7 linked regions of the Oryctolagus cuniculus genome follow. The protein of the gene in region 7 binds, or shares a complex with, the protein of the main gene of each other region. Links are inferred from orthologs where the notes say so. Each region holds a gene or a part of one and is shown on either strand. Other genes may lie near its edges. The genes, in order: MED7, MED24, MED19, MED25, MED4, CCNC and MED26.

Region 1 (4,010 bases), on a different chromosome or scaffold from region 7:
CAGAACTCCTTGATTAGCTCTGGGCTAAAGTGAAGCTAACCTATGGCATTGCAATCCATCAATACCTCTCCCCTCAATGCGCACACACACACACACACACACACACAAATTTACAAGTAACTGTTGTGACTCTTAACAATGTTAAATGATTTCATTTCTTACATGCAAGGATTTTCAAAGTGGTCCCAAATTGGTTTTGTACCTCAGCCCAACACTCCTCTCACAGCAATGTATTTTTTAAAAAGTCAAAAGAGAAACGGTTGTTGAGTTGTTCAAGAGCCATTTCCATCTTGCTCACTGACCAAGGTATGAGGGAGGAGGTGTGGAACAAATTTAATTTAATTAAGGGAAACCAGAATGTCCTTTGGGGGTCTCTGGTCCCAAGGTCTACACCAAGCATATTCCAGTTGGTAAAAAAAAAAAAAAAAAAAAAAAAACCTTAAATTTGAGACTTGTTAATTAGTTCTTGTCTGCTAGAAGTGTTAATTGGAAACAGCCTCTGTCTGAATGCAAAGAATGCATATTTCACACAGGGAAATTGGCCTGTAACCATTTTACAGTGAGTTGGTGAGACCTTAATGCAGCAAATCCCTATGCTAGTAAACAGGAAATGAGGGAGAAATCAAAAGCACATCACCCAGGAAAAGGCCCATCTCTACAGATGGTAATCTTGAGCATGCATCAGAATTGGAGGAAGGCTTAACACCAAGCTTGCCACGCCCTGTGCACCAGCAAGTTTCTGGTTCAGAAGGTCCAGGGTGGAGCCAGAGGAGCTTGATTTCTAACAAATCCCCAAGTGATGCTAATGCTGCTGGTCCAAAAGGACAATGGAGAACCACTGGCTTCTGTCAGAGAGTAGCAGGCAAAGATCCTGATATGAGGCCAATGGGCGGGAGGGGGAAGGAGGGAGGAGAAAAGAAAGTACAGAAATAAAATCTCAGTACCCAAGACAGTTTATTTCTTGTTCACATTAAGTTAGCTGTAGAAGGAAGAATGGAGTTAAAAGAGGACCTAATCTTCACATTCTAGAACCAAATTACTATAAACTGTTGTCACCAGGCTTGCATGGGTGTGGGCACACACCTAGCCGACTGGGGAACAGAATGGAAGATCGTGCAAGAAATCTTAGGGCACAGACTCCATTTCCCAGAACTTAGTCACATGGCCTCACACAGATATAGGGCAGTAGGGAAATGTGGTCACTGGCTGAACAGTGATATCTCAGCAAGAAGAAGCGCGAATCACTGGTGGACATCGAGCAGTTGCTCCCACCAAACCCTTCTCCCACTGCAGTCTACCAGCCTTGATCATGTCTGAGCTTAGCTTTAAAAATGTGTAATTTCAAAGAATTACAAATATTTTTAAAAATCTGTAATTTCAATCCTCTTAATTACTAAAATCTGTAATCTAAAATTTCTAACTAAGCTGACCAAAGACTTTCTACCCAAGTGACTGAGAAAAACCAATTTATGGGACCTACCAAGGTTCAAGATAAGGAAAAAGAGTCTACTGAGGTAGTAGAGTTACAAGAATCACAAGGAAAAATAAAGTTTTTGTTTCATAACAAATGGGTCTCTTTTAAAATGCTATACTACCTTATGCAGATTAGGTAAATTTTTAAATATTACATAATTTCACATTTTAGAGTATCTATCCCTCATTCTTAAAGCAAATGACAAATTTACTTTTTAAGGATGAAAGTTTGCTATTACCAAGGACACTGTCAAACTTTTACTCCAACTCCAAAAAAAAGAATGCCCCACACATCTGCAGCAAACATTTTCTTTTTCAGGTCACTATTCTTAATTTACGGGTCCCTGTTTGCCTACACTTGTTATATACTGAAATTGCTGCCTATGGCATTACGTAAGTGAAAAAGCTGGAGAGTCAAGAAAAAGGCCATTTAAACTTTTAGTTATTCATTTTAAGACTGCCCAAAAGAAAATAAACCAGTAATATTATACTATTTACCAAAAGGGAAAAAAGAAAACTAACATGAGTCACGGTCTTTCATTCATTTCATCAATTAGGACACACAAGGCAGCATCTTTTTCTATAATCTGGTCCCTTCGATGACCTGAATTTTCTCTTTGCTGCTCACTCTGTCCAGTACAATTGTTGCTATCATCAGCATCCATTGGTTCAGTTTTTACTTTTATTCCTGCTTCTGAGTGGGGTAAATCATCAGGCAAAGAGGCCAAGCAATTCTGAATCATCTCAATCACTCGCTCCAGATGCTTCTGAAACCTCTCGGCTGTTTCAAGCCTCTGTCGTTTCTGGACTTCCATCATAACTCTCAAGGTCTCTCTTGCTTGGTGGGGTCTGTATTCATTTATGAGATGATGCACATGGACAAAAAGCAGCTTAAGATCTTCCAGCTTCTCTTCTCGTTTTATACTCCCAGGGCTCCTTATCAAGATATCTAAAAGGTCCAAGAAATTAATAAGGATAGACATATTGAGTTTCCTCAGTTCTTTCTTGTGATCAAATTGCATAGGATGAAGCCTTTCGATGCCCTGACTTTCCAAAGGGCGGATAATAAGATCATCACATTGGAACTGGTTGCCAAACATCATATAACTGTCTTTGATTGGAGGGGGTGGCTTGGGAGCTAGACCTTCCTGAATATTTTCATCAGTGTATTCCTTGATGTACTGCATAGGAGGTGGAGGAAGTGCACTCACTTGCTGTGGCTCACCCATTGTGGAAGATCAAGCACCTACAAAAACAAACCAAAGATTCACAGAAGAACTACAAAACAAACCTGTCACATTTAGTGTTTACAGACAGAGCACTCCCCTTTTCTTCCGGTAGTTTCAAAGCTAACACTTACAACTCAGAATGGATGCCACCCTTTTCTAATTAAGCACTATATTCTCAACAACCCACATTATTTTTCCTTCCCTGTTAATACTTCTCTCCCAATATCTTGGAGTACCTTTTCATTTATAAAGAAAAGTCTTCTGGATTCTACACCACTTACCTTTTATGTCCCATTTCTCCACATCTCTTTATAGCAAAACTACACATGCTGTCGCCCAAACACATATCACAATCACTTTTTTTTTTAGAAGGTAGATGATTTTAAGATTTACTTTATTGATTTGAAAGGCAGAGTTACAGAGAGAGAAGGAGAAACAGAGATATCTTCCATCTGCCTTTTCATTCCCCAAATAGCTGCTAAGGACTGGGGCTGGGCCGGGGCCATGTAGAATCCAGGAACTTCATCCGGATCTCCTTTGTGAGTGATATGGGTCCAGGCACTTGGGCCATCTTCCACTGCCTTCTCAGGCATATGAGAGGAAGCCAGATAAAATTGGAACAACCAGGACTTAAACCAGTGCCCATATGGGATACTGGTGTTGCAGGGAGCCATTTAACCTGCTGCGCCACAATGCCAGCCCCTACAATCACTTTTACTATTACGAAGTGATTTCCCAAAGTAAATACTTATAACTCAAACATTTTGACAAAATTAACATTACTAAAATCTAGATACCCAGTATCATCCAAGGCTCCTAGATGAAATGATTATCCAAGTCTGTATCTTTTTTCTACATTTTATGCTACAATTTACTAACCTTTCTGTATCTACTATAGAAACTTGAAACCCAAATTCAAACCCACAGCTTCTATGGCCACAATCACTTCTACTTACTCCTTTTTAAACATAGGTATTATCATCCAATCTGAAGATTCTCAAGTGCTCTTTTAAACCGATCTGAACAGTTTTAAGACACACCCCTCCGACGTCAGGAGGCGGCAAGTACCCGTGTGCCTCTGCGGATGCGCACCCCTCGACTTCAGCTGGCATCTTTCCAGGGTCAACTCCCTAAGAGGCATCACTGTCTCACATCCTCTCCACATCATCTTCCTGCCAAAGCTATGACCTAAGTACACGATCAATTCTATTCTTCGGATGAGGATCCCAAGTCTTAAGGGCACGTGTCTGCAGATCGCATAACTACTAACGGCACAACAGCAATTCCTACCCCACGTCCTTTCAGCTC
Region 2 (3,500 bases), on a different chromosome or scaffold from region 7:
CTATCACACTGGAAGGTATGGGTTAAAAAGTAGCAACTAGGGCTGGCTGGCGCTGTGGTGTAGAGGGTAAAGCTGCCACCTGCAGTGCCAGCATCCCATATAGCACTGGTTCGAGTCCTAGCTGCTCCACTTCCAATCCAGCTCTCTGCTATGGCCTGGGAAAGCAGTAGAAGATGGCCCAAGTCCTTGGGCCCCTGTACCCGCATGGGAAATCCAGAAGGAATTCCTGGCTCCTGGCTCTGAATCGGCCCAGCTCTAGCCATTGCAGCCATCTGGGGAATGAACCAGCGGGTGGAAGACTTCTTTCTGTCTCTGCCTCTGTGACTCTGCCTTTCAAATAAATAAATAAATGTTAAAAAAAAAAAGTAGCAACTGAGAGAACCAAACTGTATGTTAAAGAACTGAGTTTGGTCTGTCCCTTCCTGTCCCCTGTCCCCTCGTGGCATGGTCCCAGTCATTTGCAACCCAAACTTTAGACAGGAGTGGGAGAGGCAGCAGCAGCCCAGTCAACAGGAGACAGAAAAGCCCGGGGCTCTTGGGGTAGCCCACATGAGCTCACACTTACCGCTTAGCTGTAAGGCTGTTGACACTGGCTTCAGACAGAAGCCCCTGCTTGCTACATTCTGTGAGCAGGAAGTTTGTACAATCACAGCTGTGAGGGAAAATGATGATGAGACAACGGCGCGCACAGCTGGGAGTTTACAGGGAAGGGTTTTGAGGATGAGGACAATTTGGAGGGAAGGGAACAGAGATCTCGGTTCGCAGCAACTACAGGGCTGCTGCCTCCTGCCCCTGCCAAGGGGAGCCAACAAGGAGACAGTGTCCCCAGAGGCTTATCTGGCATAGCCAGCAAGCTAAGAGCCCGGAACACCTTCCAGGAGCGCAGGGCTTGAGCAGGGCGCTCATACTTGCAGCGCTGGTCAGCTTTGTCCAACAGCGGGGTGAGCTTCAGCAGGAACTCAAAAGCAGAGTGGACATCCTCAGTGAAGTCCTACAAAGGGTCAGAAACTTCCACCGGGGTTCTGGGTCCCCTGCTCCTCCCACAGCCCACAAGGCAGTCATGCAAGGCCATCCTGTTGGATGCAGGGGCCTGCTGTAGGTCCTGCCTGCCACCGACTCCAAGGACTGGATTGGAGAAGGAAGGGGCATCGGTGTTTCCCTCAGGCGACCTTGCCTGCTGGAGGAGACAGCCTGCCTGCTGCCGGGAGCCGGGCCACATATGGCAGGACACACACAGGGCTCCAATGCTCTCACACACTTGCTGTCTTCTGAACACAAGCACAGACTGCCCGACTAGGGTCTGAACGACCTCCCCTGCCCTTGTTTCTCCAGCGTAGAATGCCCTCACCTGCTCCACACCCCACCCCATTTCTCCAACTCACCTTGTCCCCATGACAGTATTTCTTCAGCTTCACCAGCACCTGCGGAATCTAGGGCACAAGGTAAGGGAGAAACAGGAAGATCAGTCTCACCTACTATGAAACGTCCCCCTCCGGCCCCTGCTCCGGGCAGCGGGACAGGAGTGCTCCTGACTGGAAGTGAAGACTTCCTTCGAGGCCAGTCAGAAAGCTGGGGGGCGCCCAAGGGCCTGATGCCCCTCAACCCACTGGACACAGGAACCACCCACTTCTGCCAGCTCCACAAGGAAATGCCATGCACAGAAGTGGGGGAGCCCAGCTTCCAGACGACCGGGGCCTACCTCCCTGGCTCTGGGAACTGCCCAGCACCAGGCTGGCTGAGCATCAAGCTAAACAACACCCCTTGTTGAGAAGCCAGAGTCCTGCCAAGTGGACTAAATACAGCCCTGGGGCTTTCAGAGATCATCAGTGGGAACCGGTGCTGGGGCCCCTGCAGGCCGGCACGAAGCCAACACGGGCGAGAGGGCCAGGGCCCAGGTGTCTGCTTGCCCCGAGACTCATCCAGGCTCCAGGTACCTTGAGGAAGGTGAAAGCTGTCCACTTGAGTTCCTCTGTGCCCTCAGGGGACTCGATGAGCCCCACAAAGCAGGCTTTCCAGATCTCCAGCACAAAAAGAGGGGTGGGGATATGCTGTGGAAAGTCAAGAGTGAGGCCTAAGAGGGTGCCCCGCACCCCTTCATCCTTCTCAGGCTCCAGGGGCTAGGCCAGGTCAGAGACTGCAGGGCAGGGCTGCTCCCCAGCTCTGGTGCTGAGAACCAGGGAGGTCAGAAGACAGAACCATGCATGATTGGCAGCCCCTTTCCACCAGACACAGGAGACTCCTCCCCCTGCTCTGACCTGCCCGCCCACCTCGGGTAAGGGCGGCCACCCGGCCCCTCCCACCTGCATGCGTTTCACCATCATGAGCTGCTCCACCAGGGGCTGCGTCTCGCCTGTCAGGTTCATGGTGCCCTCGAGCAGGACCACCGCGTGGACTGTGGGGAAGCCAGTCTTGTGCAGCTGCTCCGAATGCACAGACAGCATTGTGGGGATGCTGAGGGGACAGCGTTTGGGGAACAAAGGTGAGAACGAAGGGGATAGGAGTGGGCACTGTAACCTCACCCAAGCCCCAGGACACATCCTCCCTCTTCCCCACCATCATCCTGGGAGCCGGCTACCTCCTAATGAGTGTGCCACACTGTTCAGCCTGGCTCTGGAGCTGGGGGTTGCTGAGATTGGCCAGGATCTCCCCAAGCTTCAAGAGAGAGTGCTCAATGGCAGTCCAGGAGGCTGAAGAGGAACAGGAAATGCACAAACTTGATAGGCAACAGAGGGCCTGGTTCCACGTCTTTGGCACCCTGGGCCCACAAAACCACGCAGGGAGGCTTCCCCTGAGGATGACATGGAGGCTAGGGGCTGAAGGGCAGCATGCACTGTGTGTGCAAGGGGACAGCTACTGAGGGCTGAAGGCCCTAGAAACCACGCCAAAAAGCCTGACTCCCATGGGACGCCCCAGCTGACTGCAGAGACCATATGGGCAGTAGCAGAGGGCAGCACGCAGCGTGTAGAGTCCCTGGCTGGATCAGGGAGGCCAGCCACAAATCACCTCACGAGACAGCCCAGCTGAAAGGCCAGCCAGCCTGGCATGGCCCTCTCCCTCCACTCAAGTCGCCTGGTTCCCAGACTGCCATCCCTGTCCGCCACCTCTCCTCTGGGCCCTGCCCTCGGCTCCCCATTTTGGGAAGATGCCCCCTCACACACAACTCCCACCATCCTTCAAGTCCCTGCTCAAGCCTCAGTTCCTTTAACAAGTTACCCAACTGCTCTAACCCACTAATCTCTCTAAAGGCCAGCACTCATGCTCTCTACCACACTACTTAGCACTTGATTATAAATCGCTTATCCTAGTTACAACTCCAGAGGGTCAAATGGTGAATAACAGCAGCAACCAGCCCATTAACCATGTAGCACGAGGGGAAGAAAAAGACAAGACCCGAGACGCATCAGAATCAGGGACTCATCCACTCTGCGGCCAGCAGGCACTCATCCATTCTCGTCAGGCCAGAAGTGGTCAAGCACAGCCCCGCTTTACATAGTGATTAT
Region 3 (4,212 bases), on a different chromosome or scaffold from region 7:
TGGCACTGCTGCTTGCTACTGCTTTCTGATGTTCCCTCCTCTCTGCCAGTTATCTTCCTCCCAGGTGGTTTTGCTGAAGGTCAGGGAGAAGGTACTGTGCTTTTTCTAAACTCTAACTTCCTGTTTTTGACTATTGCTTTGTAGTTAATTTATAAATCTTTCTCCCCAGCTCTGACTCCTCTCCTGAATGAACCTTCTTTGCAGTAAATTTCATGCAGATTCAATTTTTTTTAATTCAAATTCTTGCCCATGTCACTTATGGCTTCTTCATTTCAATCATGGCACCGCCATTCTTGAGATGTTTTAGAAAGCAGGACTTCTGAGTTCAAAAACCTTCAGGTTTCCTGTTACTCTCGGGAGAAAGCACCCGTTCCTCAGGCATCCAGGGTTATTCACATCTGACTGCATCCAACTTAGCTCTGGGCTTCATCAGCCACTACTTCCCCAAAGGTAAAATTTCTTTCTTTTTGGTAAAATTTCTGATCCATTCAAATGAGTCTCCACACTTATGAGAAAAAAAAATAGGCATTCCCTCTTATATTGTTTCCTTTTAGGAAAAATCTGTTGTTTTTTTTTTTTTTTCCCCAACCAATGTGAATTCTTCACAGTCCAGCTCAAGTGACATCTAATTTCTTGCTGTCATCATGGATACACCACATTTTGAAAACCATCAAGGAGTTAATGCTGTTCACTAAGATACTGTTAGCTGTGCAGTATTTAAGGCATGACTGCAAAGTAATGAGACTGGTATCGATGAGAAACAGTCACTTGTTTATCCACAAACCACATACTGTGCTTCCCTAACTAACTAAAATAGTCTTCTTATAAACCAAGGACCAAGGGTGGGCATTTGCAGCAGTCGTCACGACACTGCTTGGGATGCCCGTATCCCATACTAGAGTGGCTGGGTTCCGTGCCGGCTCCTTTGCTTCTGCTCCAACCTCCAGCTAGGATGCAGGCTGCCAGGCAGCAGATGACGGCAAGGACTCGATTCCTGCCAGCCACAAAGGAGACCTGGATCAAGTTCCCAACTCCTGGCTTTGGCCTGGCCCAGCCCTGGCTGTTGGGGGCATTTGGGGAGTGAACCAGCAGATGGAATGTCTCTCTGCGTCTCTCCCTGGCTTTCAAATAAAGTAAAAATTAGGAAGTAAGGCCCAGACCTGACATCTCTTTCCCCCTTTCAACACATCATTGTTCCTGCACATAGAGCATTTACCAAGAACAGATACCAAGTATCTGCCAACGGGCTGACAGAAACAAGCACAATCAGAGTAAGTGAAAAAAGCTTAAAGAAACTGCTGGTGGTTGTCTCTCTGCATTTCAAATAAAAGGAAAACTATAGTTTAAGAAAAAGCACTAGGGTCCGGCACTGTGGCATAGCAGGTAAAGCCGCAACCGGCAGTGCCGGCATCCCAAATGGGCACCAGTTTGAGTCTCAGCTGCTCCTCTTCTGATCCAGTTCTCTGCTGTGGCCTGGGAAAGCAGCAGAAGATGGCCCACGGCCTCGGGCTCTTGTACCCATGTGGGAGACCCGGAAGAAGCTCCTGGCTCCTGGCTTCGGATCAGCCCAGCCCCAGCTGTTGTGGCCATCTGGGGAGTGACCCAGAGGATGGAAGACCTCTCTCTCTCTCTCTGCCTCTCCTCTCTGTTAACTCTGATCATCTAGCAACAGTTATGTCCATTTTCTAAAAGTGAACATCTTTTAATTCAGTTTTTCCACATTTTAAAAATTATTTTATTTGAAAGGCACAGGATGAAATCTTGCATCTGCTGGCCCACTCCGCAGATGCCTGCAACAGCCGCGACTGAGTCTGGAGCTCCACACAGGTCTCCCCTGACAGCGGTAGGAATCCAGGGACGTGCCATCGTCCGCTGCCATCCAGGGTGTACACAGGGTTAGGACTCAATCCAATATGGGATGCGGGCGTTCCAAGCCGTGGCTTAACCTACCGCACCACAACGCCTGCCTCCACCTCAACTCTTGATCACGTTTTCATCCAGCATTAATCACTATCTGATGCTATCTTGCTTACGCTGTCTCCAATGGCAAAAAGGACAAAGATCTTGCCAGTCTGGTTCACAGCTGTAGCTCCAGCATGCAGAACAAACCACATAAATTTGATATGAAATAATTTCGTGTCCTTCTAATCCCGTCTTTGAATAGATGAAGAAACTTACCCCCAAACCAACAGCCAGCCTGAGGCGGACTGAAACTAAAAAACCTCGGTTCCCTAGGCATATCATTTGAGTTCCGATCTCCATGACCCTGGAGAAGCCAGTGTCAGGGGCACAGCCCAGACCCAGAGACACACACCCACCTCCTCCCAATCCATCCCACGAACCCAATCATCCCTGTGGCTGCGAATCTTCGCAGCTCTTGCAAGTTCCAGCTCCACGGCCCGGGTCCGTGCAGCCTCTGCACCTCCAGCAGCCGGCCAACAGCCACGCCCTCACCTCTTCAGCATTGGACTGGTTAGCTTCGGCCAGGCCTAGTACTCACCAGGCAGTTCCCGCATTAGATAGAAGGGGCCACAACCAGCCACTGACTTGTCTGTGCCGGGAGGAGCGGTGGCCGCCGTGGGAGGCGGCGCTGTGCCGGGTCCCCCGCCCGGCGGCGGCGGGGGCGGGGGTGGAGGCTTTCCTGGTCCGAAGCCTAGTGCGGCTGGGGGAGGTGGTGGGTCAGCTTGAGCCCCGAACAGCGCCGTGAAATTCTCCATCGTCCCCTCCGCACCGGCGCTGCCTCAGTGTCTGGCGTTGATGACTATCATTGGACAATCCTTTCACGGGGTACCGCCCTCTTCCTGTAAAGAAAGCTTATCATTGGATATCTGTGGCTCCACCTACCTTTTTCTGGCAACAACTTCCGTCGCTTTCTGAAAACGTTCAGGAAGTGCTATCTAACCTGATTGAATTCTTCTGGGTCACTTCCGCGGGCCATAAACACATATCCAATAAAATGACCTTGGTAGAAAAAGCGACAACTAGATTGGCCAGTAAACCGGTCAACTCCACTTTTCAACTCGGAATTACGGCGGCATCCAATGAGAAATCTACTTCCGGGTCTAGAGGCGGTTCTTCTGGTAGTTGGGCCAATAGAACGCTCAATGGGGTGGGAGGCGGGCCCAGATTTACGGACGCCGGTGAGCGGCGGGCGCCGCAGGACCTGGAAACATGGCGGTCTTAGCGCCTTTGATTGCTCTGGTGTATTCGGTGCCGCGACTTTCACGATGGCTGGCCAGGCCTTACTACCTTCTGTCTGCCCTGCTCTCTGCTGCCTTCCTGCTCGTGAGGAAATTGCCACCGCTCTGCCATGGACTCCCCACCCAACGCGAAGACGGCAACCCGTGTGACTTTGACTGGGTGAGCGCTCTAGGGCTCAGAACCCCGCGACCTTGACTGTCCCTGCCCCTGCGGGTGCATGTGGAGTCCCGAGTTTCACCTTCCTAAGGACACTTGAGGTTCCCAGCCTCTAGCGGGCTTGCAGACTGCTGAAGGGTGTAGGGCGCAGACTGTCATCGCATCTAAACGAAGTGTTTACGATGGGAAAACGGAGGCGGTGCCTGGTAGCCCCTGCACGACAGCCCCAGTCCGGGCTTCCTGACGCCTCGCTGTTCCTGCCAGTAGACAGCCGTGCCCAAACTCGGCACCTGTGTGGCGTTCTGCAGTACTGCTCATTGTGCAAAGCCTCCCGAGGAGCCTGGGGCGGGGGGCGACGAGGCGGGTAGTGGTCGTAGTCCGGTTTCCTGCTTGAAGAAACCGGCCTGCGCGTGGGCAGCCGACGCGCCCGGGGTCACACGACTGGAGTGCCTGGGCCTTTACAGCGACTTTTCCGGCCATTGGGACTTGCTCGTTCTGTCAGCCATCTCTTCATTGAGCACACTGTGTGCTAAGTACTGTGCTGCACCCGGATGTGGGATGCAAAATTGAATAAAACCTGAAAAGGAATTGGAGAAAAATAAAATAAAATACGTGCCAGGCCGCCTGCGGTGCTTCCTCAGTAGTTTTGAGACCGCTTATTAAAAAAAAAAAAAAAAAAAAGAGTTTAGCCCTCTCCTGGGTAGCAGCATCTGTGGTTTTTTTTGTTTTGTTTTGCCTTTTTTTTTTTTTTTTTAAGAGTCATTTATTTGAAAGTCAGAATTACACAGAGGGAGGTCTTTCATCTGCTGTTCACTCCCCAATTGGCCGCAGCGGCCAGAGCTACACTGGTGCGAA
Region 4 (3,500 bases), on a different chromosome or scaffold from region 7:
TGCTGTGGGGGGGATACGACAGGAAGTGGGTGCCCTGATGTAGGGCAGAGCAGAGCAGAGCAGGGGGGACGCGGGGCCAGCCCCGGGTGCCCACACCTGACAGGCCTTAACCACAGTTCTCACTGGCCGAGGCAGGGACGGCAGACTCGGGGAGCTGCCCAGGGCACTCTGGGTCCTCACCTCCCCAATCTTCTGCACCAGGCTGTCGGTCGTGCAGCCCGAGTACGTGGTGCTCTCCACGGCGGGCAGCAGGTACGGGGGGGAGTTGCAGATCAGCAGGCACACGCGGTGCGTCTGGCCGCTGCAGGTCAAGAAAGGCATGGAGCAGCCACCACGGGGCCTTGAGGAGGCCGCAGACCCCGACCCCAGCTGCCTGCCCCACGCCCCCACCACAGACCACGTGGTCCCGGGCCAGCTGGCACGAGCCCGGCCCAGGCCGCGCGAGGGGCACTCACATCTGCTCCCGCATCTTCTTGAAGTCGTCGAACAGCTGCAGGGCTGTGCTGAGGCCTTCGGCGATGAGGCTGCAGCTCTCACCGCCCCCGCCCATGAACCTGCCGGAGGTCAGGGGTCAGCCAACGTGCCCCTCGCCCCCCCGCCGGCCTGTGTTCCCTGCACTGTCCCCGCAGTGGGCACAGCACCAGGCCAAGGGCGTGGACGGGGCACCTGTGCTGTCCTGATCCTGGGATGACCCTGTCCACACTCCACACCCCTGGCCATCTAGTCCATCTTTAAAGCCAGCCCTGGGCTCACCTCACCTTCCCAGCAGGTAGAGGGACCCCTTTGTCTCCCAGCACCTGGTGGGTTTGAGTGTCTCCCTCTCCCCAAATAAAACAAGCTGAGATCCTGCCCCTAGTACCTCAAAATGTGACCCGACTGTAAATGGGATCTTTAAAAACTTTTTTAAATTTTACTTGAAAAGCACCCCCACAACACACACACAGGCGGTGATACTCCTCCTAACCGTGCGTTCACTCCCCTCCCCAAATGCCTGCAACAGCCAGGGCTGGGCAAAGCCAGAGCCAGCAGCTGGGAGCTGCACGCAGGGCAAACGTGGGTGGCAGGGGTCCAGGCACCCGAGCTCCACCTGCTGCCTCCGGGCGCTGGGCAGCGGACGCTGCGTCCCAGGCAGGGCATCACCCACGGTGCCCCTCGCCCACCTGGAAACACGCGTTCTCCCCAGGTGATCGAGTTAAACAGGTCACCAGGGGACAGCAGGGCAGACCCTGGGGTGTTAGGCAGGAAGTCAGTTATGAGCTTACGTGTGTGTGCCAAAGGCCTCCCGAGAAAACTTCTACGTTCAGCATATGCATCTGCATCTCAAAGTCATCCTGATGGTGTTACAGGGGCAGCCCGGTATTCGCATCTTCACATCCTGCCCTGCCCCCTTCTACCTGATGACCTGCCAGGTGGAGATTCCCCCCGACTTCCGCCTGACAAATCCTCCACAGTCTCCCAGGTGCAGCCCAGTACCTGCATCTCAAACACCCTGCTCCGGATCCCCATTCTCCAGGGGGTCCTGCTCACCCTTCCTCTGAACCCAGGATGGCGCCAGCTGGGCTTCCTCCTGTCTGATACCTTCAGGGGAAAACTCAGATAGGAGCTTCTTAATATTTACAGCCATAAAATCCTTTGATTCAGGAGGAGATGTGTGAAGACAGAGACCCATCTCCTTAACCCTCCCCCCCCCCCGCCCCCAGCCTCAACCGGACTGCGCGCTCAGCCCTCTGCCTCTCTGCTGAGCCGCCCGCCTGGTCTGGTCAGGTGTACTCTCTCCACTCAACCATGTAACATCCCCCCCCCCCCCCCCCCAGTCCGAGCGACTGCACTCTTTCCCAGGTCCTGTCTGGAGAGGTGCCCATCCATCCTCACGGATGTCCCTTCCCTAATAAACCTTGCTATTTTACTATTTTACCTCCCACTGCTCTCTGTCTCACGCCTGAATTCTTTCTTGCGCGAAGACAAGAACCCTGCAATTTCTCCGGTAACAGGGGAAGACGGCGCCAGCCGAGGGAGCTGTGTGATGACGGGGGCGACACAAGCCAGGGGCATCTGGGACGACCAGAAGCCGGGAAAGGAAACCAAGCCTCGCCCATTGGCCCCCAGAGAGAGGCCTGGCCGGCGCCTGGAACCCAGACTTGCGGCCTTCCAACCTGCAGCCGATCTGTGTCTGCTCAGGCACTCAGCACTCCGCGGGTGCGGCCCAGGGAAAACACCCAGGCACAGGCACAGGCACGCTCGCACTCGGCCGCTCCTGTGGGGAGGGGGCAGGGCCTGCTGCAGGGCTGTGGGTGACCCTGTGCCTGGCCCACGCAAGTTAGCCTCACTGCGGGCAGGCAGCAGCAGCCCCAGGCCCGTTCCCCCACCCCAGCCTCCTGCGGAAGAGCCCGGAACTGCCCATCAGGTAAACAGCCCCCGGGCGCGGCCCAGGCCCATCAGGAAGGCTGCAGGACCTTCAAGCTGGTTGAGAAGCAGAGCGCGCCAACGGCGGCCTTACCCTCTAGCGCTGGTGTTGCCCTGAATTAGCCACGCCCCCCGCCTGCCCTTTTCTATCTCATGCTTGATCGTCAATAAGCAGACTTGTTCACCAAAACCGGTCTCTGGCGCTTCTTGCAGAACGCCGTCAACCCACCATCCCGGCAGTGTGGACCTTGCAGGACGAGCCCACACACGGGCGGGTCCAAGCCCTCTCACCACCAGCCTGTGCACCTGGGGGCCTTGGAAAACGTGTCTTCAACAAACGGATGGCCACATCCATTAGGGCGGGAGCAGACCCAAGCCCCCGCCGGGCACCTGCACCCCCTGGGCCTGGTCCACCATCACTGGCCTCTCTGGACATGCTCCAAGGGGCAGTCCACGGTCACCTGGACCGAGACGAGACGAGACGGCGGCTGCCAGGGCACCGTGAACTGCCAAAACGCCCGAGGTCAACACCGCTCCTTGTTTGGAACAAAGAGCCCGCTGGCCCGAGACCTGCTCACCCGCGGCCCACGAGTGCTCTCCCAGCCTCCGTCCACTCCCTGGAAAAGCCTGGTGAACCCCTCAGCTCCCTCTCCCTCTTATAAAGCCCTCACTCTCCTGTGTATTTCTTCTCTCACTGAATAAATGCTAAAACCATTAAAAAAAAAAGTCCGAGGGCCACAGTGAAAGGCTAAACTTTGAAATCCTAAAACTTGCTCTTTCTTCTGAATGAACACAAACAGAACTCAGAGAGAAAAACAAACATTCTGTCAGAGATGAGCAACGCTTCTACTGGGGAACAGAAACAAACACTGCCGGTCACAGGACACAGCTTCCCCACGGAGCTGGCACCGGCACCTGCGACACCGGCATCGCATACGGGGCCCGGCTGCTCCGCTGCCCATCCAGCTCCCTGCTGGCGCGCCTGGGGCAGCAGCAGGCGACGACCTGAGTGCTTGGGCCCTGCACCCACGTGGGAGACCCGGACGGAGCTCCTGCCGCCTGGCTTGTGGTCATTTGGGGAGGAAGAGGCAGATGAA
Region 5 (4,246 bases), on a different chromosome or scaffold from region 7:
ATGGCCAGGGAGTGCAGTGGAGGATGGCCCAGGTGCTTGGGCCCTGCACCCCATGGGAGACCAGGAAAAGCACCTGGCTCCTGGCTCCTGCCAGGATCAGCGCGGTGCGCCGGCTGCAGCGGCGGCCATTGGAGGGTGAACCAACGGCAAAGGAAGACCTTTCTCTCTCTGTCTCTCTCTCACTGTCCACTCTGCCTGTCAAAAAAAAAATAAAAAAAAAAATAAAAAAAAAAAAATAAAAAAAAAACAGCAGTGGCTAGGCAGCTTTTATGTTGGTAACTTGGAGCTGAGCAACTACAAACAGTGAGAACTCAACAGGAACTAAATGAGCATTCAGTTAGCTGTCTCACAGATGATGTCACACAGAACAGACACGTGAATAATTTAACTGAAACATCATACTAAATACCTTGCTAGTGTGTTTTTTTTGTTAACTAAGAAATAATGTGGATGTTGATGTTAAGAGGATTGGCTAATGAGGGAACTGACAAGTTTTCCACCATAAACTACTAAACCAGCGAAGATGGACATGCTCCGTCTGTAAACACTTGGAGGCAAAGCCTGGACAGCTGCCTGGTGCCTGTGAGTTTGTTTCCTGTACTGAGCAATGGCTGACCGAAAATTCCAGGTGCCCTGTTTGTGATCCTACTACAATGTAAACAGTGGATGAAGCTTATAAGCCATTTACCTTCTGTTGTCTGCGTGTTTTTAGGTTTTCATTACATCACTAAATGTTGTACTTAACATTGGTAAGTAATGGTACAGCAAGGGCTAAATTCACAGCAAAGACAAAGTACTGATCTTGAGTGTAAGCAGATCGGCATTTGCTGTCACAGAATGCTGGCTACGGAAATGGTGACATTTGAGACAGATGCTGAAAGACAACTCAATCATTCAGCCAGCTAGAGATAGAGTAGGAATGGCACTGACGAAGTACAGCTGGCGGTGACATGGGAAGTAGTCAGGCATCCCTCAAATGCACGGTGAGGTGACTGTACTTACACAAACCCAGACAGGAGCGGCCACCTGCTGTGGCCTGACGCAATCAACAGTTCCCAGCAAAAACAAGGTATAGGAGGCTGCTCCCAGCAGAATGTGGCACTTTGCTTAACAGTTAAATTTTAAGTAATAGGAGGAATAAACTCTAAATAACAATGAAAAGTATTGCACAGTAAATACATAAATCAGTAACAGTCATTTATTATCAAGAATTATGGACGGGGGCTGGCATCATGGCATAGCCAGTGAAGCCACCACTGGCATCCCATATGAGCTCCGGGTTCAAGTCCCAGATACCCCTCCTATCTAGTTTCCTGCTAATGTGCCGAGAGAGCAGCGAAAGACAGCCCAAGTACTGTGTTCCTGCCACCCAGGCAGGAGACCCCGGCAGAGTTCCAGGCTCCATGCTTTGGCCTGGCCTAGCCCTGGTCTTTGCAGCCATCTGGGGAGTGAACCAGTGGATGGAAAAGCTCGCTCCCGTTCTCTCCCTCTCTCTGTAACTCTGCCTTTCAAATAAGTAACCTTAAAGAAAAGGAATGAGGGGCTGTGTGTAACTGTATGTGCTACACTTTCACGCCCCCGGCAGCAGGTGGGCCCATTCACACCAGCGTCACCACAAACACGAGCACAGAGGGCAACAAGGCCACGAGGCTGCAGGCATTTTTCAGCTCCATTATAATCCTAAGGGACCACCACAGCATAATCATATATCTGGTCTTTCCTTGACAGAAACCCGACACTGGGCCTGACTCTGCTTATACGGGCTATCGAGTATTTTTTAAGAAGAATGATGCGAGATGCTTTTTAAAATAACGATGGTGCTCAGCAGTATAAAATGACAAAGTATATCAAGTACAAAAGAAAGTAGAAACTTTTGGCAGGCTGCAAAAACAACACAACTTAGATCCAGGTTAACCACAGAAGACAGGAAGGCCCCGACTTGAAAGACGACCGTGAAAACTGAGAGCCTGCAGAACAAGATCCCATCCCGTCTCCCATGCTGCTCTGCGGCCATCCCCAGCACCTTACAACTCCGCCAGGGCCTGGGGCCTCCGACTTCCAAGGTTTGCACACACTATGTCACCTCCCTGCCACCTGCTGAGTCCGATGAATTCATTCTTTCCAACCAAAGCCTGCCCTGACTACACTCCCGGGCCCGCAACGCACTGCTCGGACAAGAACGAGCCCCGCACCAGCACTGTTTACCCACCTGTCTCTCCCTGACCCCGGGCTCCTCCGCGTCGGCACCCAGCCTCCCCTTCACGACAGTCTCCTAGTGCTTGGCGCCCAAGGGGCAGCCCATTAGTGCCAGTCTCCCAACGCGAGACCTCTTAAGGTTCGCTCTGGCTCTTGCCGTCTTGGACTTCCAGGGTGGCTGTCATGACTAAAATTCTCTCTGACGGCAAAGAAAAAAGTGTTGCCCAGAGTCCCAGAGATCTGCAGACCCCATATCCTTAACACTCAAGCACCGGGGACTCCCAAGCTCAGGCCTCCCCGCCGAGACCCAGGAATGAGCGCAGAGGGCCGGCGGCGGCGGGCTCCGGGGCCAGTCCCCCAGCCCAGCCCCAGCCAGGCTCTCAGGCCGGCGCCATTACCTCGACAAGACCTCCAGATCTTCAAGCGCAGATAACAACCGCTCTCTCGTGCTGTTACCGCCTGCCGCTCCAGAGCTGCCTCCCAGCCGTTCCTTCTCCTTCTCACCACTCGAAGACGCCGCCATGCTCCCCAGGGCCAGGAACCAGCGCAGGCGCACCTCCGCGCTAGTGGGAGAAGAGGCGGGCTCGGGAAGCGGAAGGAAGGGTCACCGAGACGTAGGGAAGAGCGGTACCGCCAGAGCGCCGCCTAGGCGACTGGAGGCGCACTATGGGCGTTAGCGCCATCTGCTGGACCAGCCGGGCTTCTCCATTACATACCCAGGGAGCGCCCAAGGAGTGAGACTGGAGGGGGCGATTCAGTCCGATTCTTCTGGGCCTTCTGGTTTTTCAAGCAGCAATGGAAGGCTTCTCCCAAACGGTTTTTGAGCATTTCAGGGAGTTACCTACTTGCCTACCTGTTATGTCCGTTTCTTCATAAACTCGACTGGTGTCTCCCCAGGATTGTCTCTGCAGTCTGCATTCCCATGATGCTGTTCTAACCTTCCTGTTGCATGGCTCTTGGAAGCTGCAGTAAGCTTTTCAGCACAGGAACCAAAACCATTTGTGATCCTATTTTTTTTCATTGTAGCAAAATACACAAAACGTAAAAGTCACGGTTTTAGCTATTTCAGTGTGTAGTTCAGTGACGTTAAATATGTTCACACTATTGTGCATCTAGAAAACTCTTTTTAATGATGGGGGAACTAGGCATGAAGATTAGGTAGAAAGAGTTGAGCTGGAATAGTTTCTCAGAATTTCTGCATAACCCTGCATGGCAACTCCTCCCCCTTACCTGTCAACCCAGTGTGCCCCCTTTCCCATGATGCACCTGCCTCATCAGGGATCAGGAAGGAAGGGAACCATAATGACCACGTGGAAGGTAAGTTGCTAGCCAAGGCACCATGAAACTGCCTCACACTGAACTCCATGCTGTTTGCATACTTATCAGAGCACCACCCAGTACCTCACAAAAGGGACTGATAAATGTGGAAACACTCCTTTTTTGCTTTTTTGGCTTCAGGAGCATACTTACGGTCCTTCTCTGGTCTCCTTGCCCTCTCTCTCCTCCTAGGCAACTCTGGCCCACTCATGACAAGCATCTCTCCATGCAGGGATGCCCACACTCACACGAGAATGTATATTCACTCTTTCAATAAATCGTCTTCTCCCTCGTGCTCTGTATGTATTGCTCTGTTTTGAATTCTTACCTCTGCAGGGACAAAAACTTGGAATAAAAGTTGAGATTGGCATGCCTGCAACATTCACACCTCATAAAACAAATCTAGCTTCATTCCTCCCCACGCCCCAGGGAGTCCCTAGAAAGCAGCATCCTTCTGGTTTCTGTGAGTTCGGCTTCTTTGTGTGAGTGGAATCATACATTATTTGTCTGTTTTGTCACTGGCTTATTTCACTTAGCAAAATGTCCTCAAATTTCATCCATGCTGTAGCAAGTGTCAGAGTTCCCTTTTTGAAGTTGCTTGATATTCCATTACTTGTCTATACCACCTTCTGCTTATCTGTTCATCCAATAATGGAAGTTTGGGTTGCTTCCATGGTGTTTTTTTTTAACTCTTTATTTTTATTTATTTATTTTTTTGACAGGCAGCGTGGAT
Region 6 (4,195 bases), on a different chromosome or scaffold from region 7:
AGTAGAAAAAAAATGGCATGCTGAGTTCAGAAATGATGTGAGAAAGTTCATCTTTTTTTTTTTTTTTTTTTTGATAGGCAGAGTTAGACAGTGAGAGAGAGAGAAAAGTCTTCCTTTTCCATTGGTTCACCCCACAAATGGCCGCCGGCGCGCTGCGCCAATTCAAAGCCAGGAGCCAGGTGCTTCCTCCTGGTCTCCCATGTGGGTGCAGGGCCCAAGGACTTGGGCCATCCTCCACTGCCTTCCCGGGCCACAGCAGAGAGCTGGACTCCAAAAGGAGCATCCGGCACAGAATCCGGCACCCCAAGCGGAGGATTCGCCAAGTGAGCTGTGGCGTCGGCCGAAAAAGTTCATCTTAAGAGGCTTGAAACAGAACTTCTGCCCCCTTGTTCATTAAATTCACCTAAAACGACGGCCTTTTATAATCTTGTTTATCTGGAATTATCTTGTTTTTCTTGCTCATTACCCTTCAAAAATCTGACATTCCATGATTCTCAAGGTATAAGAATAAGACAACCAAGACTCTTTTAAATGGGAGGCAAAGACAATTTTTAAAAAGCATGTTTAATTTTGTATTCAGAAAGTGAAAGATTGGCCGGCGCCATGGCTCACTTGGCTAATCTCTGCCTGCGGTGCCGGCACCCCGGGTTCTAATTCCGGTTGGGGCGCTGGGTACCAGTCCTGGTGGCTTCTCTTCCAGTCCAGCTCTCTGCTGTGGCCCGCAAGTGCAGTGGAGGATGGCCCAAGTCCTTGGGTTCCTGCACCCGCATGGGAGACCAGGAGGAAGTACCCGGCTCCTGGCTTCGGATCGGTGCAGCACTGGCCGTAGCAGCCATTAGGGGAGTGAACCAAAGGAAGGAACTGTCTATAACTCTCTCTCTGTCTCTCTCTCACTGTCTAACTCTGCCTGGCAAAAAAAAAAAAAAAAAGTGAAAGATTGAGGCTGGCACTGTGGCATAGTGGGTAAAGCTGCCGCCTGCAGTGCCAGCATCCCATAGGGGCACAAGTTCAAGTCCTGGCTGCTCCCCTTCCGATCCAGCTCTCTACTATGGCCTGGGAAAGCAGTGGAGGATGGCCCAAGTTCTTGAGCCCCTGGCACCCATGTGGGAGACCCAGAAGAAGCTCCTGGCTTCTGGCTTCGGATTGGCACAGCTCCGGCTGTTGCAGCCAACTGGGGAGTGAACCAGATGGAAGACTTATCTCTGTCTCTGCCTCTCCTTCTCTCTCTGTGTGACTCTTTCAAATAAATAAATAAACCTTTAATAAAAAAAAAGTGAAAGGATAACTTTTTTATAATGCCAACAGTAAATAAAAGCACTTTTTAAAAAAGGATTTTTCACCTTAAAAAAGAGGAAGGGGAGCACTATCTTTTTAAGTTGAAGAAGTGACAATCAACAGCTAGCTACCTGTAAATTCTCTCAGCTTCTTTCAAACAGAATCTCTTCTCCACTATTTACCGTTTGTAAACTTTAACTTTGCCCAAGAAAATATTTCAGTGACAACAATGTAAAACAAAAATATGAAAGGGAGGAAAGCCTCTACAGCACTTCATAGATCGACTGTACAACAAGAAAAGGCTTTTCTGAAAGTTAACAAGCCCATTGTTTTTCTTATGCAAATGGTTAAAAAATGAATAAAAACCGATTCTATTCACAGAAACAAAACGTAAGATACATTTACTAATGCTCTTAGAATGAAAAATTTACACTAAGATACCTTTATCAAGCTCAGTTCATTTTTGCACTACAAAGGAAAGCCTAGTCAATGTTCAAGTAGGTCTAACACGCACCTTCCCGTCTGCTTAAACAAACGTATTTAGGGACAAAGTTTTTGTATCACTCTAACACGCTCGTGGTCGCTGACAGAACACAAATTTACTCATTACAATCAATGAGAAATGCAGTTTTAAGATAAAATGTAAGACACAGATAAGGAAATGGATAAATTTTTAGAACATGAAACTCCACCTAGGCATAGTTACTGGAACCGATCACGAGCTAGAAATAAGCCTGCTTCCCGCCTATCCTCTGATTAATATCAAACCCACTCGACACAGAAGGTAAATGGCAAAGTACCACGAGGCCGATATCCTGAAGAAACCCCGGAGAAAAGGAAGCCACGACTCTGCGAACAGGCTGCCTCACGGTCCCGACCTCACACTTCCCCTACCTGTGCACACCTCGTGCTACCCGACTAGCTAATCCCAGATCCAAATCAAAGTCCTGAACCTTCCTTCTCCCACTCAACCTCCTTCCCCCAGCTTTCCCGCTCACAGATCCTTCTCCCGCAAATCCCGGCCGGCAGCCTGGGAGGAGAGTCGCCTCAGACAAGCGCACTTCACTCCCGCTGCTGCCGCCTCCCACTGGGACCTCACCGGCGCCGCGGACCGGCGCCGGGATCCACACGGAGGGGAGTTGCAGGCCCCGTTCTCACCAACCCCTAAGAACCAGCACCGGCCGAGAACGCGGAAGATCACTTACTAGTGGGAGCTCTGCCAAAAGTTCCCTGCCATGGAACACAGCTTGCCCTGATAAAAAAGCACCAGCCGGCGGAGCGGCCCGCGGAGCGACCATAGACCCAGCCCGTCCGGTAACCGCGCTCCTAGATCGGATCAGCTCAGCTTGGCTCAGCGGCGGCTACGGCGAGAGGAAGAGGATGGATCCCTATTCTTTTTGACGCCGGCTGGCAACACTCAACCAGTAAACCCGTTCCTACAGACAAAAGTTCCGGCCCGTCCTGCAGTAGTTGAGGAAGCGAGGCGTCAGACGGGAACAAGTCCTCGGGAGGGCTTGCGTCGGTCGGAAAGCTCTCGCGAGAGTTTCGTGCCGGTTCCGGCTCGGAACCCGCGCAACCTTTGTGTTCTGTTCTCGCTGGATTTGCTGAATGGAGAGATCTTGGAGCAAGCGCCCAGTTTATAATTTTGTGGTCCATCTTTCAGGTATCCAAAAAGACATAATGACTTTATAACAAAGTACACGATTTGTTGACTTCCCTTTTTCCTGCGCTTGGAAAGAGAAGTGAATCATGATTTTGACTCCATCTATCAAGCGTTCTTAGTTTCTAGCAGACAAACGGTTTATTTATGTAAAATGCAGTTCCAGAGACAAAGAGATGCCTTGCCACCCTGCTTCACTCAAGTGGCTGCAAGGGCCGCGGCTTGCACCATGTCTAGGCAGGTGCCAGAATCTTCTTTCAGTTCTCCCACGTGGATGCAGGGGCCCAGGGACCTGGGCCACCTGCTGCTTTCCCAGGCACAGTATTGGAGGTGGAGTAGCTGGGACGCAAACTGGTGTGCCCTACCCCACAATGTGTTATTTGTTTTGTTTTGTTTACAGGCAGAGTTAGTGAGAGAGACAGAGAGAAAGATCTTCCTTTTCCGTTGGTTCACCTCCCAAATGGCCACTACAGCCGGCGCACTGCACCAATCCGAAGCCAGGAACCAGGTGTGCTTCCTCCTGGTCTCCCATGCAGGTGCAGGGCCCAAGGACCTGGGCCATCCTCCACTGCACTCCGGGGCCACAGCAGAGAGCTGGACAGGAAGAGAAGCAACCAGGACAGAATCCAGCCCCCCGACCTGGACTAGAACCCAGGGTGCCAGCGCTGCAGGCGGAGGATTAGCCAAGTGAGCCGCCGGCGCCAGCACCCACAATGCATTCTTTTTTTTTTTTTTTTTTTTTTTTGGACAGGCAGAGTGGACAGTGAGAGAGAGAGAGAGAGAAAGGTCTTCCTTTGCCCTTGGTTCACCCTCCAATGGCCGCCGCAGCCGGCGCGCTGATCCGATGGCAGGAGCCAGGTACTTATCCTGATCTCCCTTGGGGTGCAGGGCCCAAGCACTTGGGCCATCCTCCACTGCACTCCCGGGCCACAGCAGAGAGCTGGCCTGGAAGAGGGGCAACAGGGACAGAATCTGCTGCCCGGACCGGGACTAGAACCCGGTGTGCCAGCGCTGCAAGGCAGAGGATTAGCCTAGTGAGCCGCGGCGCCGGCCAGCAGTAGTGTTTTAATTCCAAAGAATCACCAGTTTGGGAAACATCTAAAAATATGTAAGCACATATATATTTACATGTATGCACATATATGTTCCAAAAAGAAATGTACTGAAAAATGTCACTTTACAAGATGAAATATCATGCTTCTGTATTTTCCATTTCTATTATCATGGTAACTTTGAATTTATTATAAAATTTCTAATAAT
Region 7 (4,226 bases):
CCTCTGCAGATCTCTCTACCCGCTGGGGAGGAGGCCAGGCTCCTGGGGTTCCACCTACAAAGCCAGGTCAGGTAGAGAGGGGTGCGTGCCCCTGAACACCAGCGGAACATTCCAGAGCAGTCAGGCCCCCACCCCCAGCAATGCAGTGCCGGCCCCCCACGAAGGCGGGCAGGACATGGAAGGTCCCTGATCCAACAGCCCTGCAGAGCCCAACACGGCCACTCTGTCCCAGGGGACACCGAGCACCCAGCCGTGCGGGGCCCTGAGGAGCAAGAGGCGAGCTGGCCACGGGAAACCTGCCTCGCCTACCACACCATACCCCTCCAGTGGCCTCCCACCGTCAGTGAAGGGAGCCTGTGGCTGACAGGGGCTCTGGCGGCCAGGACGGACCACCAGGGCAAGGCCGAGAGGGGACAGACACGGGGGGCGCGGGCTGGCTCCCACACACTCTGTCTCCCACCAGCCTTCGCTGCTGCCGCGCCCCAGGTCTCGGTCGCTCCCGGAGCCGTGGAGAAATGTGCCTGATCCGAATGCCAGCACAGGCGCTGCCCCCGAGGCAGCCTAAGGCGGCTCTGCCGACACCGCCCACGGCACACAGGGCGCTGGGGGCCCGCAGCTTCTTCCTGGGGATTCATTCCCAGGCCAAACACCTCCCCACCCTCTGCCAAGTGGCTTTCGGAGAAGGGAGGAGTTGGCAGGGACTGCGGCCTCTTAGGTTTGTCAGGGCTCCCCGAGCAGATGCACATCACTGCTTTCCTCGAAGCAGAGAAGCCGGTGCCGGCCCAGTTCCACCAAGGGGCCGTCCCGATCACCACCACCACCATGTTGGCCTGGAGTGGGAGGGGGCCCTGAGGTGCCCACCCCGAGGGCTCTCGGGCAGCAGTCCCAGGGGTGCTGTGGACTGTCACACGGGATCCTGGCCTGGAGAGCACTCGGGGCCGACAGGAAAGGACACACCGGCCAGCCCGTGTCTCTGGGGTCTCACAGACACGAGTGGGGACGCCTGGTCTTGGGCTGGAGGGTCAAGGCGGGCGGAACTAGCAGGGAGAGGTGACCTGCTATCTAGGTGAGGGTGGCCAGCCGGACGTGCGGCATGCATGCCGGGCGCTCGAGGCTCTCCCGTGCCCGCGCCACCGAGACCCAAGCGCAGGCGCGGACGCCCCAGGAGACCTGAGGCTTCCTGCACAGGTGTGGCCAGCACGTCTCACAGCCGACACGCGAAGGAAGCGGGGCCGGACCCACACAGGGGAGCGCCCACAGGGAGCCCGGGGCCCAGGAGCGCTGCCCCTCTCCCGGGGATGGGACGGCAGCAGAGCGGACTGGCTCCACGTGCTGTCCACCCAACAGGACGCGGAGCAGACTCCTCTCTGCTTTGATGTCTGAAATTTGCCGAAGATAACAAATGTATATACACGACAAATCACACCTGATCTGTTAACACCGGACGGAAGGTCTCGGCTCCAGACGACTGGCAGGCACTCAGGTGAGGGAGCACAGACCCGATGGCAGCCCCTCCGCGGCGTGTGGCTCCACCATCTGCCACCAGTGCGGGGAGGGGGCCGTGCTGGCCTAACCTCTGCTCCAAAGGACACGGCCCCTCCATCTGCTGAGCCCCCCGGAGCTCCTCGCCGGGCCTCCCGCAGGCTGCGGGTCTGCCGCCCGCCAGTCCCAGCACAGAAACGGCCTGCGTGCCTGAGCCAGAAGGCAGGGCTGAGCGCTCGGCCCGCGGCCTGACTCAAGCTTCTCCCTTAGCGGGAGCCCAGGATGGCTACGGCCACAGAGAGGGCAGGTGCACGGGCAGCCGAGACCAGCCAGCAGGCAGGAGGGGTGTTCCAGGTCTGTCACACGAGGGTGAGGACATGGGCAAAAGCCCTTGCCCGTCTCCATAGGTGGAGAGGACACCGCCGCACCCGTGCGGGAGCAGCCGGGAGCCAGGCACATGGTGCAGAGTCCACAGCTGGGTCACAGGCCGTGGCCGCTCTGCCTTGTGGCCACCCTCACGCCCCCAGGAGCCCAGACCGCCGTCCGAGTCGCACTGCCGCGGGGCTGTGAGGGCACCTGCAGCCCAGGCGGCCTCGGCAAAGCCGCACCTGGGGAAGCGGGGCTGCGCCTGCAGCGCCCGAGCAACGCTGCCCGCGGGGGATTTCCAGCCCTGAGCAGAAACGAGGAACTGAGACACGCGGCCGTGCAGTCGGAGAGGTCCCTCCGCTCCCAGCCCCGTCTCCACCTCGGGGAGGGCCCTCTCCGGCCTGCAGCTGGCGGTGTGCCACGCTCCCTCAGGCCTGAGCCCTGAGCCTGCCCCGGCCCGGCGGGCTGCACAGGAGCCCACATCTCTCAGTGCTCACCCCCACGCCCCCATTTCCAGGTAAAGAAACAGATGGCCCAAGGAGAAAGACCACCCAGCTAGAAGGCTGCACAGGCCCCGCCCGCCAGCCTGAAGGGACAGTGGCATCAGACTCTGACCCTCCCCAGCAGGAAATGCACAGTTTCCAGAACGTTCCTCGAAACCACAGGGCCACCTCCAGATGGCCCTGGTGCTGCTTCTGTGCTCTCCCCAGGCCGCACGGGGTCTCCAGCCCACACTCAACGCTGAGCCAAGGGCCCATCCACAGCCCTGGAGCCTGCTCCGCGCCGTGCTGGCCCGATGACTCCCCGTCTGGCCACCCTTCCAACGCCCCAGGCAGTGGGCAGTACCCCCCTCCCGGGGCTGCGGCCCCAAAGCACCTGCGCAAACGGGTTCCCCCGAATCTAACAGTGTGGACACTGCTGCTGGTTTATTATTAGTTTTAAAGGCAGAACTGGTCTAGACAGAATTTACAAAACCACTTACTCGCAAAGCTCTGGAAGTGCTCATCAGGGAGCAAGCCGTCGCTCCCATTCCACGCCCAAGCACAGCCTGCGTGGTGCTGGGCAGGAGGCCGCCTGCACAGGGCTGGGCATGCGCCGTGTGTGCGCGGACACGGGAAGGAAGCGGGCCCCGCTGGTGCACGCGTGTGTGCTCTGGTCCAGCCGTGCTCTTCAGCCCAAGTCTTCCTGCTTCTGACAAACCCCACGAGTCCCCAGGCAGCTCCCTCTGCTGCAAGTCACTGCAAGGAGGGGCGGCCCCTGCGGCCCCCACACAGCCCAGCGCTGCCCGCTCCCGCCTCCTCCACAGCCCCCCCCCCCCCCCCCGCCGCCCCGGGAGCCTCAAACCCACAGGGGCAGAGTCCCTCATTACGGCTTCCCAGAGGAAGAACAGCCCGGCTGGGGGGGGGGGGGGGGATATCCCAGTCACAGCCACCAAGTGACCACCTGCAAAAGCACTTCCTCACTGGCGGGCCGGCCTGCTGCCCCCGGAGTATCAGCCCTCTGGGCGGCCTGTCGGCGTCCCTGGGGTGACGACCCTGTGCACTGAGCTCCTGCCACGGGCAGCAACGGGCCGAGCACAAAATCGCACTTGGAACCTTGGTCGGGGACAGAAGCACCAGCCTGGGTGCGGGCAGCGGGCGGAGGCCTGGCTGCTCCCCACGAGTCGCCCAGAAATGGGAAGCTGCTGCGGCAGCGGTGGAGGTTCCCAGGCGTGCAAACGCACGGTGGCCCTGGGAGGAGAGCTACGGCAGGCCTCAGGTGGGAGCTCCGCTCAGCAGAGGGCGGCGGCTCTGCGCTCCGCAGCCACCGCCCGCCCCGACCCTCCTCGCTTCCCGCCCACTTCACGTCTGCACAGCTCCTCCCGGCCCAAGGCCCACTGGCTCACACAGCCCCTGGACTCAGAATCCTGATCTCGGCCCTCTGGGGGCAGAGCAGGTCTCAGAATGTCACCTGCAAGCTGCTTCCTTTCCGACGTGGACACAACTGGAGCGCGAGCAAGCGAGCGAGGCAGCCACACCGAGGCCTTCACCTCTGCCCTCTGTGAGGACACTGGGCCGGCGGCAACTCCCCCTCTCCCAGAAACCGCTAATAAGAATGCCAGCTACAGGAGATTGCACAGGACCTGGGGCCCGCGAGAGGGGACCCGCACACAGCGCTGAGCCGGCTCTACCGCGGAAGAGTTGCACCGAGCGGGAACAGGGACCAACCTCCGGGAGACACCAGGCACAACTGCTGAGGCTCGCCACGGCACCCTGGGCTGCCCCTTGAGAGAACGCACGCGAGGACCACGCAGTGCAGCCCTGCAAAGCTGCAGCACAGCACGGGGCCCCCACCCCGCCCCGGCCCCCAGCCCAGACACAGGGAAACCATGACGGCAT

Evidence for each region.
Region 1: MED26 (region 7) and MED7 share a complex: the UniProt entries of both Homo sapiens proteins name them as parts of the mediator complex. The link is inferred for Oryctolagus cuniculus from reciprocal best matches to the Homo sapiens genes MED26 and MED7.
Region 2: MED26 (region 7) and MED24 share a complex: the UniProt entries of both Homo sapiens proteins name them as parts of the mediator complex. The link is inferred for Oryctolagus cuniculus from reciprocal best matches to the Homo sapiens genes MED26 and MED24.
Region 3: MED26 (region 7) and MED19 share a complex: the UniProt entries of both Homo sapiens proteins name them as parts of the mediator complex. The link is inferred for Oryctolagus cuniculus from reciprocal best matches to the Homo sapiens genes MED26 and MED19.
Region 4: MED26 (region 7) and MED25 share a complex: the UniProt entries of both Homo sapiens proteins name them as parts of the mediator complex. The link is inferred for Oryctolagus cuniculus from reciprocal best matches to the Homo sapiens genes MED26 and MED25.
Region 5: MED26 (region 7) and MED4 share a complex: the UniProt entries of both Homo sapiens proteins name them as parts of the mediator complex. The link is inferred for Oryctolagus cuniculus from reciprocal best matches to the Homo sapiens genes MED26 and MED4.
Region 6: MED26 (region 7) and CCNC share a complex: the UniProt entries of both Homo sapiens proteins name them as parts of the mediator complex. The link is inferred for Oryctolagus cuniculus from reciprocal best matches to the Homo sapiens genes MED26 and CCNC.

The regions. Positions count from the first base shown.
Region 1 is NC_091437.1:44,110,628-44,114,637, forward strand, and holds the start of MED7 (mediator of RNA polymerase II transcription subunit 7), read right to left. Parts: upstream 2,703-4,010; coding exon 2,001-2,702; 3' UTR 1,996-2,000; intron 1-1,995. UniProt on the Homo sapiens protein: Component of the Mediator complex, a coactivator involved in the regulated transcription of nearly all RNA polymerase II-dependent genes.
Region 2 is NC_091448.1:22,391,791-22,395,290, reverse strand, and holds part of MED24 (mediator of RNA polymerase II transcription subunit 24), read right to left. Parts: intron 2,688-3,500; coding exon 2,576-2,687; intron 2,452-2,575; coding exon 2,301-2,451; intron 2,049-2,300; coding exon 1,935-2,048; intron 1,431-1,934; coding exon 1,383-1,430; intron 992-1,382; coding exon 909-991; intron 653-908; coding exon 566-652; intron 1-565. UniProt on the Homo sapiens protein: Component of the Mediator complex, a coactivator involved in the regulated transcription of nearly all RNA polymerase II-dependent genes.
Region 3 is NC_091432.1:14,441,134-14,445,345, reverse strand, and holds the start of MED19 (mediator of RNA polymerase II transcription subunit 19), read right to left. Parts: upstream 2,801-4,212; 5' UTR 2,718-2,800; coding exon 2,501-2,717; intron 1-2,500. Other genes in the region: TMX2 (thioredoxin-related transmembrane protein 2), read left to right, coding at 3,172-3,360. UniProt on the Homo sapiens protein: Component of the Mediator complex, a coactivator involved in the regulated transcription of nearly all RNA polymerase II-dependent genes.
Region 4 is NC_091449.1:7,732,035-7,735,534, forward strand, and holds part of MED25 (mediator of RNA polymerase II transcription subunit 25), read right to left. Parts: intron 555-3,500; coding exon 456-554; intron 302-455; coding exon 181-301; intron 1-180. UniProt on the Homo sapiens protein: Component of the Mediator complex, a coactivator involved in the regulated transcription of nearly all RNA polymerase II-dependent genes.
Region 5 is NC_091440.1:67,125,663-67,129,908, forward strand, and holds the start of MED4 (mediator of RNA polymerase II transcription subunit 4), read right to left. Parts: upstream 2,801-4,246; 5' UTR 2,720-2,800; coding exon 2,595-2,719; intron 1-2,594. UniProt on the Homo sapiens protein: Component of the Mediator complex, a coactivator involved in the regulated transcription of nearly all RNA polymerase II-dependent genes.
Region 6 is NC_091436.1:72,156,668-72,160,862, reverse strand, and holds the start of CCNC (cyclin-C), read right to left. Parts: upstream 2,801-4,195; 5' UTR 2,513-2,800; coding exon 2,481-2,512; intron 1-2,480. UniProt on the Homo sapiens protein: Component of the Mediator complex, a coactivator involved in regulated gene transcription of nearly all RNA polymerase II-dependent genes.
Region 7 is NC_091447.1:64,938,934-64,943,159, forward strand, and holds the start of MED26 (mediator of RNA polymerase II transcription subunit 26), read right to left. Parts: upstream 2,801-4,226; 5' UTR 111-2,800; coding exon 1-110. UniProt on the Homo sapiens protein: Component of the Mediator complex, a coactivator involved in the regulated transcription of nearly all RNA polymerase II-dependent genes.